Linked DNA regions of Drosophila melanogaster. The protein of the gene in region 1 purifies or fractionates together with the protein of each later gene. This does not show direct contact. Each region holds a gene or a part of one and is shown in the gene's direction. Other genes may lie near its edges. The genes, in order: pod1 and par-1.

Region 1 (4,960 bases):
TAATATGCATTTTCACACAATTCCTCTAACCACCCACTTTCGCAGCGTTCTAAACTCTTGTTCCTAGAGCAAGTGCATTTTCCAGGTAATCAAAATCCTTGGCGTTTAGTCGGAATCAACAGGATAATAATAGACAGAAAATGGTAAATCAAATACCAAATACCACACGAAAACAACCATTCGCAGGTATTAAGTAATGTGTGTGTGTGTGATTAGAGTTAAATCAAAAATTAGTGCTTCTCATATGTGGGCAGAAAGTGCATAAATATAGTCAGCAGAGCGTATTTCCATGGAAACCGCACATTTGCCCAATTTCCTTTCATCGAGAGGGGATATGAACTTACTTACTAATATGGTTTTAAAGCGTAGGATATTATTAGTTAAAAGAAAAATATTTCGATTTTTTTAATCTAGTAAAACGTTGTGTAAAATCCTTGCCTACTTTTCTGCTAAGCCCCACAAATTGTGCGGAAAATGTTAGGGATAACGTTTGCAGAGGCCAAATTCGGTTCAGGATTTCCGAGAAATGTTTAATGCGATTTAAATATATATATGTACATATGTATATGAGTGATGTGCCTCAAAAACTCTAGTCAATAAGGATTTTCGGAATGATTTAATTAAACAAAATTCTACAGATAAACAAAGGTCAAATGCAATCGGAGAGTTCCGGGAAATATTCAAGGAGCTTCCTTCCATATGGGATGCAGAGTGAAATTCTATGGTTTATACAAATGGAGTAAAGACGACAAGAGGATAAATTCCAATTAGGATGACAGCCTTTTTATCCAGGTTTCAAACCATATAAATTTAGGAAGAATTTTAGAGGAAAAAAAAGACGAGAGTGTGTGTTCGTGTGTGTGGGAGCGCAGCGGAGGTGCGAGGGACGAAATGAAAATAGGAAGAGGAAATGGAAAGGAAAACGAAAATGTTTGCGTTCGCTTCTGGAGTTGTTCTTTCAATGTTTAACACTTCTGGAAGAGAGGCAAATGCAACTGCAGCATCTAAAAGTCTAAAAATAGACTTGTTGACAGCTCCCAAAACGAGCAGCAGCAGCAGCAACAACACGAACAACAACAATGAAAGGCGGGGGCGTTGCTGGATAAAGGGGCGCGGGTTTTGTGAGCAGTACAGGGATAGTGGCAATAGGATCAAGAGGATGGTGAAGGGCAGAGACGGAGGCGGAGGCGGAGGAATGTGTGTAAACGATGGAGGCGAATGCAAACGGTAAACTGTGTGGAAATTGGAAGGAAAAGCCAAGGAGTCGCCAAAAAAAAAACGAAGAGAGCGCTTAAGAGCGAAATACTGACCGATTTTCTGCAGTATATTCATGATGAGGCCGTGTGTTTCCGCCAGGATTCACAGATTTCCCTCTTGGCAATTTTCATTCTCCTTTTTCCGCAATGATATTCGGTTCTTTTTGCTCATAGCCGCAGGCCAGTAAATAATATAAAAAACACTAAATTCTCTTTTCCTCTCACACGCACATTTTCATCGTTCTCCGCTTGAGTAGTATTAGTATTTGCTCACACACACAGTACAGTATTTTTATTTGATATTTCGCCCCGTCTCGCTCTAACTACACATATATGTACATATATTTATAAAGTTGTGTTGCGATCCGCACTTTGTATTCACTTAAATTCAATCGCACTCGCACTGCACTTTTGGCCGGCTCTCATTCGGTCCAAAAAAAAGAAAATATAAAAAATAACAATACAATTTTAAACGCGCAACACAACAACAAAATGCGGTGACCGTCGCGCAGTGCTGCTAAAATGCTTCCCAAACAATGTGAAAATAGTGACGAAGAAAGTGACGATTAGATCGCAATCGATAGCTCTGTCGATAGCGCTGTGGCGATGTATGGGTGCCACCTCTAGCACGCGGAGATGGAAACTATCGATAGACGATGACAAAACGTTTGAAAAAAAGTTGAAGATCTCTCGCGTAGTTTATTGATTGCATTGGTAATTTAATTGCAATATTTGTAATTACAAGCGGGAGAATAATCACCGGCGCGTGTGTGTGAGCCTAATCGCCGTGTTTTTCCTCCCGTGTGTATGTTTGCGTGGGTGTGCAGTTGCAGCACTGCAACTCAAGTGTGCGTCTGAGTGTGTGTGTGTGCAAAACTGCTCCTTTGTTTGCCCATAAAAAAAGAAGCGGCGTCGCCTTTGCGCAGTTTTTGTTGGTGTAGTTGCACCACCCCCTCTCCGGCTACTGCTCCCCACTCCACCCCCGCGCGCACCCTTTGTTGTTGCATTTGTAGTTGTCATTGTCATTGCCGCCGCTTTGGATTCTTCCTCTTCTTCTTCTGCCGGCGCCAGGGTGTGTGCTGCAAAAAATAAGGAAAAGGAAACGAAGGAAAAGCGAAAAAAGAAGTATATAAAAATAAATTCACCCCTCTTTTCATTGAATGGCACGCAAACTAGAAAGTAACAACCAATAATCAAATGCAATGTATGCAAAATATAGGATGGAAAACTTGTGAAAATGTCAATAAATGCATATAAGCAGCAACAACAAGAACAACAAAGTGACCAAAAACCAACCACCAGAAGTGCAAATGTGTGTGTGTGTGTTTAGTGGGCAGTGGGTGAAAACAACAAAAATGCTAGCCGGCTTGTTTCTAGCCACCCCCAACCAAGCGAAAGAGAGAGATAGGGATGCAGATGCTCGTGCTCTCCCACGCCGCCCGCTGTCATCCGTTAACCGTTAGCCGCTGAGCTCTCCTGCAGGTTGCACCTGTGCCCGTCTCGCTCTCACTTTGCAACATCACCTCGTTATATTGCCTTTGATTTTGCTTTTCTAAATCACTTGACCCCATTACCTGGTGGCTCCGCTGGCCAATACCTGCTTGGCCGTCCCCCAGCCGCACCTCCTTTTACCCCCAGTGGTCATTTGTTTTGCCGCTTTCTAACAAACAGAAACAGTTGAATTGGCGCATGCTCTCTCCCTCCCGCTCTCGCTCTCTCGACGTTTGCTTACTGCACTCGGGAGACTACACAGTGCGGCCTCCAGAGAGTAGAGTATAAAAATAAAGTAATAACTAACTAAAGACGTAGAAAAATATATATTTTTGCGCAAACTAATATTTTATTTGTTTGATCCAAAGGCTCATTGATGCCATTGCACTGTGATGTTTAGTTTACAGAGTGCTCACTGTGCTTATCCATAAACTGCAAGCCAGTTGGTTGTGTTTGTACAAGGGTATGTGTGTGTGAAACTCTCCATGAAATTTATCAAAAGGATCGTTAACCCTTAGGTGTGGCATATTAACCCTTACCGCCGCTCGGATCATACTGTTTGTGTTGCCATTTTCAGCAGTTGTTCATACACGTACTTCATATTTGCAAATTACACATTAGAAATTAGTGCAAATTTAAGTAAATATATGTTTAGCTTGACAGAAAGTGAAGAAATAACGCTGAAAAGAGGATCACTAACCCTTAGGTGTGCCAAATTAACCCCCACCGGCCGGAACTCATCATATTTTGCCCAGTGTTTTTCCTCGCCTTTCCTGATGATGTACAAACAAACATTCGCATACATACTCAAACAAACACGTACGCCAAATGCGCGAGTGTTGGTCGGGTTGGCTGGCTGGCTCATCCGGCTTTGGTGGACACCATTCTTGTCCAGCTTTCTCTTTTCAATAGACGTATCGCCGCAATAGCAAGTGCATCTCTCTTTTTTTCCCCATCCATACTTGCTAAATGTATTATTATTTATATTCGGTTATCGGCTATTGTTTGCCCTATCGGATTTGGATGACGATGAGTCAGGAGCGGCGGGCAAGACGATAACAAACTGTGGAATGTCCCCCGCGCACCCAAGTGATATCATACTCGTACTTATGCGGCTATTTTGCCATTTTCCAGAAACGAAACTCTGAAACGGAGCAGCGGAGCGGAGAGCGAAGCGCAAGAGAGCGACTGAGAGGGAGCCACCGGACTAGTGACACTCGACCATCAGGCATCAAGCATCGGGCATATACAATCCACAATCGACTCTCTACACTCGAGCAGAGAACGTCCATATCCATATCCACATCCGCATCGGATCGCCATCACATCGGATCGAAGCCCTCCCAGCTCAACCAAGTAGCCAACCATGGCCTGGCGATTCAAGGCTTCCAAGTACAAAAATGCCGCACCCATTGTGCCCAAGGCGGAGGCATGCGTCCGCGAGATCTGCGTGGGCAGCTACCAGACGTACGGTAACAACATCGCCGCCTCCGGCGCCTTCATGGCCTTCAACTGGGAGCACACCGGGTCCAGCGTCGCTGTCCTCCCGCTGGACGACTGCGGCCGGAAGAGCAAGACCATGCCGCTGCTCCATGGACACACGGACACAGTGACGGACCTTAAGTTCTCCCCGTTCCACGACGGGCTGCTGGCCACCGCCTCGCAGGATTGCCTGGTAAGAGATCCTTTAATATTATTTGGGAGTACCCCTAAATGTTTCAAAAATATATTATGTGTTAGGTCATTACTTTCCAATGATATGTCCATAGAGTTACTCAGAATATATTTTTTTTCTTGTTTTATTTTTGCAATATTATTAATTTAATAAAAATGTATTTTCCGTTTCTCAAACATTAAATGTTTATTTACCAGAAGCTACAGATAAAATAGTTGCATGTTATAATGAGTTTATGAGTGTGATAAGAACGAACAATCAATAATATGCTATTATTAATATTAATAACTCACCAGAAACCATAATTTCATCGCAACGCTATCACATTAGTCACAAATTAGATAGTCAACATGACACAAAGTCCCCCTGCTAATCAATCACTACCATTGCAATCCACAGGTCAAGATCTGGCACATACCGGAAAAAGGTCTGGAGCAGTCGCTTTCCGATCCGGAGGCAATCTTCTCACACAAGCAGAGACGCGTAGAGACAGTGGGCTTCCATCCAACAGCAGATGGTTTGATGTACTCCACAGCCG
Region 2 (5,229 bases), on another chromosome or scaffold:
CTGATGAGATTTCTAAAGCGCTCCAAGAGCCACACGCCCGCCACTATTGCCAAGTTGCAGCGGGAAAAGGAGGAGGCCCGAGCGGAACGCAAGCAACGGCTATCGAACGCCCTGCGGCAGAAGAATCTAGCGGCCACAAATGCAGCCTCAGCTGCGGCGGCGAACTCATCCTACGCAAGCGGTGGTGGTGGTGGCACCGTAAGCAGTCGGAACAATAAGATTGTGGTGACAATGATCGAAAACGGCGGCTTGCCCATTGTGGCCACCAGTAAGGCGGAAAGGCCCAAGGCCAAGGAGTCGGCATCATCCAGTGACAAGGCTCGCAACTCGAGGGTATGTAATATTGGATATAAATTTATCGATATTATCGATGGTTGCTTACATTTTATCGAAATCCATCGACGGTAACGGTAACCCGTTAGATACTATTGCATAATTAATATAATAGAAGATATAGGAGGATTTATATTGGGAGCTTGCGATATTGGCAATTATGTGATTTAGAAACTTTCCTAGGCTCTTGAGCAAAACTACACTTGACCTTGCTACTTCATTTCAAAAGAGTGGGGCAATAAGGTTATATTTGTTGTGATTAAAGTTTGTCGGTCTCTCACACTTCCCCATTCATTTATGAACATTGCAAATTTATCGTTGTTGTGCTGCCACCTTCATTCAATCTAATCGTAATCGCTGTTTCGTTTTTGTCTGTATCTGTCACGGTTTTTGGTTTTTTTTCCACAATCGAATGAATAACGATTTCTATTATTTTGATTACGGATTTTGTTTAATTTCAGATTTTTGTTACCCCACATTGAATTCCTATAATCCATATGGAAACTAATATATATTTTCAGTCTAATCGCACAAGTGCTACATAAAAACCCAACGCAAATACGTTTAAAGATTAGGGGATTATAGGGATTACGGGCTCTCTGTTTCTATAACTATACGATTGCATTGTCCGGAGGACAAGTTCATAATAGTTGACCTCATTAGATTTTCCTGTTAGCTAGCATGCGAAAAATGAAATTCTATCTTTAATGTTTTTGTTTGGGACCTGAAAGGCTTGACTGAAATCTCGCTGTCTTGTCTTAATGTAGATTAAGCTGCAAGTTATTCAATTAGCTTAATTAATACGGACACTTTATACAGGCTCAGCTACTTGATACCTCGTATGAATAAATTAAAACCAAACTTGGCGAGTTACAAATTGACAGAATGATCGAATTTCATATGAGACACTTTTTGATATCTTAAAATGAGAGTTTCTCTATTTTCCAGATTATTTATTTTTAAGTATACCTAATGTGTTTCGTTTATGTCGTATCACTCGTGTCTCTATATATTTTATTCACAAATTTTATTGTGTCGGCTGACAAATGACTTACAATTATTTGACGACAAGATGTTCATAATAATGTTCTTTCGGGATTGCATTTTTAGTACCAAACTGTGTGTATTCCTCGGTCTTTGTATTCTGGTGATTGATATAGAGTAAAACAGGGGAACGGGGGAAGTTGATTAGTGAAATCTTCGCGACGACCGTAGAATTCCGACTCAGACTTCAGACATCATGTCCTTTTGGTTTTATTACTTAGAACTCTTACGTAATGCATCACCTAATCAACTGATTAACTTTAAAGGAAGCAGTTGAACTTATTGGGTAATTGATTGATTTTAATAGAAAACCAAAGTCCAACCGAATGTTACTTTAATCGCAGTAAATCAGGGAAGAAGCGCTTTGCGTAACTTGGTGGAACTTATATATTGCGCACATGCGCAGAACACTAAACCCTGCAGCAAACACGGCTAACAGTTTCTTTCCCAGCGTTACGCTCAGTGGTACTCGCACACTCATACACTCTCAAAACTTTCGAGCTCCAAACGGGGCTTCTCTTTGTGGGAGAACAAGTACACAGATGCAGATACGGATAGAGATACTGTATTAATGGTAGTAGTGCTCCACCAGTGGAGAGAGCTGCCCACTGATCGTGTGCTTGTGCTGGTGTGTTGGTGTATTAAGGCCGACGCCGCTGCCGCAGTCGACGTCGCTGCTCGAAGCGATTCCGTGCTTTTGGAATACTCCGCGCTCTCGCTCTCCGGCACTCCAGTTCCAGTTGCTGAGTGGCCAAGTGGCTCTTTGGCTGCTGAGCCCTGTTTAGCTTTGTTTTTCGGTGTCTTCTGTGTTTTGCTGTTTTTTGTTGGTGTAAATCGTATAGTTGTAGTCGTAGCCTGTCGACGACGTTTACGTCAGAGTTGCAGAGGAGGAGCTATAATTTAGTACGAATACCCAAACCCCCACGTAAAATGAGTGCGAAAAATTGCGAAAGCCGCGTGCCTCTGCGATAAGATAACCGTGTGTGGTTAAAGAACTCCTCCGGCCAACGAAACGAACCTTTTAATAATCGGGATTTGCGCGAAATGTGATTTTTTATAGTCCACAGACCAAGTGAAAAAAAAAGAAAGAAAATACTCACACACTATCAAACGACCAATGTATATAGCCTAACTGTGTTTTTCAGCAGTGAAAAAGTCGGCTCAATTGTCTAAAAGTAGTTCATTTGCTTCAATGTGTTGGTGCGACCGTGCATGTGTGTGTCTGTGTGTGTGCATTGGAGCTTTTCGCTTTGCTCACTGAAGCAGCGACGAATAAAAATGGAATATAACCAGCCAGCAACTAAACGACTCGTACGGACGAATTGTTCAGATACTTGTAGATCTCCACATCGTAACTATTTAGACAGTAATTAAAAGCAACAAAGGAAAATAGCGAAAAGGCAAATGAATCATAAAACTGAAAAGAGAGCGTGGGAGAGGAGGGTGGGGGTGGGGACAGGAAAAGCGTGACACACACACGAGAGAGAGCGAGGGCATCTCAGCTGAGCTTGTGCAACAGCAGTAGAAATAGGAGAGAGCAATTTAGAGAGAGACCGAAAACAAACACACGCACAAGAGCTCACCTCCACCACAGGTGTGTAGGTGCCACTTCGCTTTTCTCTCTCGCGCACTCTCTTTTGCTATGTATGTAATTGTGTGTTTAGGTATATTGCCCTCCCTTTCACATCCCCACATCGCCTGCCGTGTGTTTATTTCAGTGTCACCGGGGAGACAGATTAGCTCTTGTCCGCCTGTTGTCGTAAATATCACGCACACACGCTTCCCGTCCGCCCATCTGTACATACATATGTACATACGTAGAAATGGAAGTTGCTAGCTGTGTGTTTAATTCATTTTCGAGGTTTTAATGCGCAACAACTGCGACTTGTTGTGTGTTGGTTAGACGACAAAAAACAAACAAAAGTAACGTTGAGAATTTAGAAAGCCCAATGCAAACGAACGCACACACAAGCACTTACTCCTGTCGGTGTGAGCTGCATTGTACTTCCGAAGCCCCAAGACCAATTTAATAATTTTCCCCAAACTCACAGTGTAAGAACAATAAACACGCCAAGCGCAACTTGAAAAAGAAATAAGAAAAAAGAAAAAGTTGCGATCTCTCCGAGCAACAAGTACTTGTGCACCAACACACTCAAGGGAAGAGTGCCACGACAAAAAAATTTAAGAGAAAAAAAACAGAAAAACCGAAATCAGCAGCAAAACGGAGGAGCTATGGAGGCCACCACTACCACAACACCTGACTTGAATCGCGGCGATGCCACCAGGAAGAGTGTCCGGCTGTATGCCGCCCGCAAGGGGGCGGCACCTGCGCCGCCCAAGCTCAGTGTGGCGCCATCTAGTAACCAGAACAGCAACCACAGCAGCAACAACAACAATAGCAGCAGTAACTTGCCGGAAACGGAAAAGGAAATGGAACTGCGTCAAACACATCTTGCCAACAAGGATCTCGATGGAGCCACCGAAGACGACAGCATAGTGGAGCTTCGACGACGTGATGCCCAAGCCACTCCATTGCCCAGGATAGCCGTATCGGCTCTACCCACCCTACAGCCGCATCCCACGCCCAAAGAACGCCAAAAGCCGCCAATGCCACGCCTTCTGTCCACCGAAGACGATGCCGGTGTGTCCTTTGCCCTCGGCTCCATCGAGAAGCACATCCATAACGTGGAGGAGAGCTTTAAGCAACAGCAGCAAAACCAACAATCCCAATCATCGATGGACGTGATGAAACTGGAGATCAAGCGCAAGCAGAGCAAGCGCTACGGTGAAACGGAAAACCTTCTGCGACCGGGCATTAGTGACATGTCCTCCGAGAATGATTTTCAGTATTTGGGCGGCAGGCGGGCAGGAGAACTGGATGACAGCAATGAGCTGATGTTATCGGAATTCCAGCGCGGCAGCGATGGTCGTAACTCGATCGGAGCCTATTCCAAGAACTCGGCTGCTGCCGCAAACGGAGCAAATGCTGTGAAGGCTAAACTGGCACGTACTGCCTCCGATACGAAGAATAATGATACGGTGCTGGCCATGAGGGCCACTTTTAAGCAGAAGCAGCACTTGCAGGACGAGAAACAGCCAGCGGTATGGCGACCAGCTGGCACTGGACCCACTCCGGCGGCCAGGAGCTCCTCCTCCACCACGTCCACCTCCGGCTCGGCCAGTCGTGGCGGTAGCAGCAGCAGCGTGGTGGATGGAGTGGCTCCATCTAAGCTTACGGCCACTACCATTTCAGCGTCTAAGCGGCGTGAGGAGAATTTGCGACAATTTGAAGCTTTGTTGGCCCAAAAATCCTCACATCGTCATGGAGCATCTGGTGCCTCGGGAACAGGAAGTAATGCAGCCAGTTCGAAAAGACGTTCGGACCGGCCGATTGTGGCTCCTATTCCTCCGTACAATTCCAGTCGAGCAGAGCATGTGACCAGCTCGACCAGACACAGCGTTGATCCAAGATCCCATTCGGGACACGAGTCGAGGTCAGGAACAGCCTCAACTCACCCGCCTGTAGGACATCATCCCACTAGCCGCGTACCCAGCGTGGTGGCAAACCGCAGCAATGTGTACAGCAACAATGCTGCGCAGGTAAACGGGATAAAAACCAAAATCCATTTTTATCTACCATATTTCAATATAATTTTCATCATTTGGTTCAGAGAAAGCAATACCACTGTGGTTTAAAATCGCATTTAATATAACTATTAATCGTTAGCAATGCGGTTTTTAAAGGGTCATAAATCAGGATTGTCACAGAAATGTTGGGTTTTATATATAAATTATAACCGACACCTGATGCACACCAAAATACATAACTTTACTTACCCCTGACCATTGTTT

Evidence for each region.
Region 2: the proteins of pod1 (region 1) and par-1 purify together in Drosophila melanogaster (affinity purification with western blotting, with the first as the bait; one study listed by BioGRID). This does not show direct contact.

What each region holds. Positions count from the first base shown.
Region 1 is NC_004354.4:6,801,797-6,806,756, forward strand, and holds the start of pod1 (pod1 coronin), read left to right. Parts: upstream 1-1,887; 5' UTR 1,888-1,970; intron 1,971-2,299; exon of another isoform or gene 2,300-2,381; intron 2,382-3,188; exon of another isoform or gene 3,189-3,210; intron 3,211-3,331; exon of another isoform or gene 3,332-3,453; intron 3,454-3,588; exon of another isoform or gene 3,589-3,679; intron 3,680-3,881; 5' UTR 3,882-4,113; coding exon 4,114-4,422; intron 4,423-4,821; coding exon 4,822-4,960.
Region 2 is NT_033778.4:19,465,362-19,470,590, forward strand, and holds the start of par-1 (par-1), read left to right. Parts: upstream 1-2,104; 5' UTR 2,105-2,280; exon of another isoform or gene 2,281-2,452; intron 2,453-3,428; 5' UTR 3,429-3,609; coding exon 3,610-4,977; intron 4,978-5,229.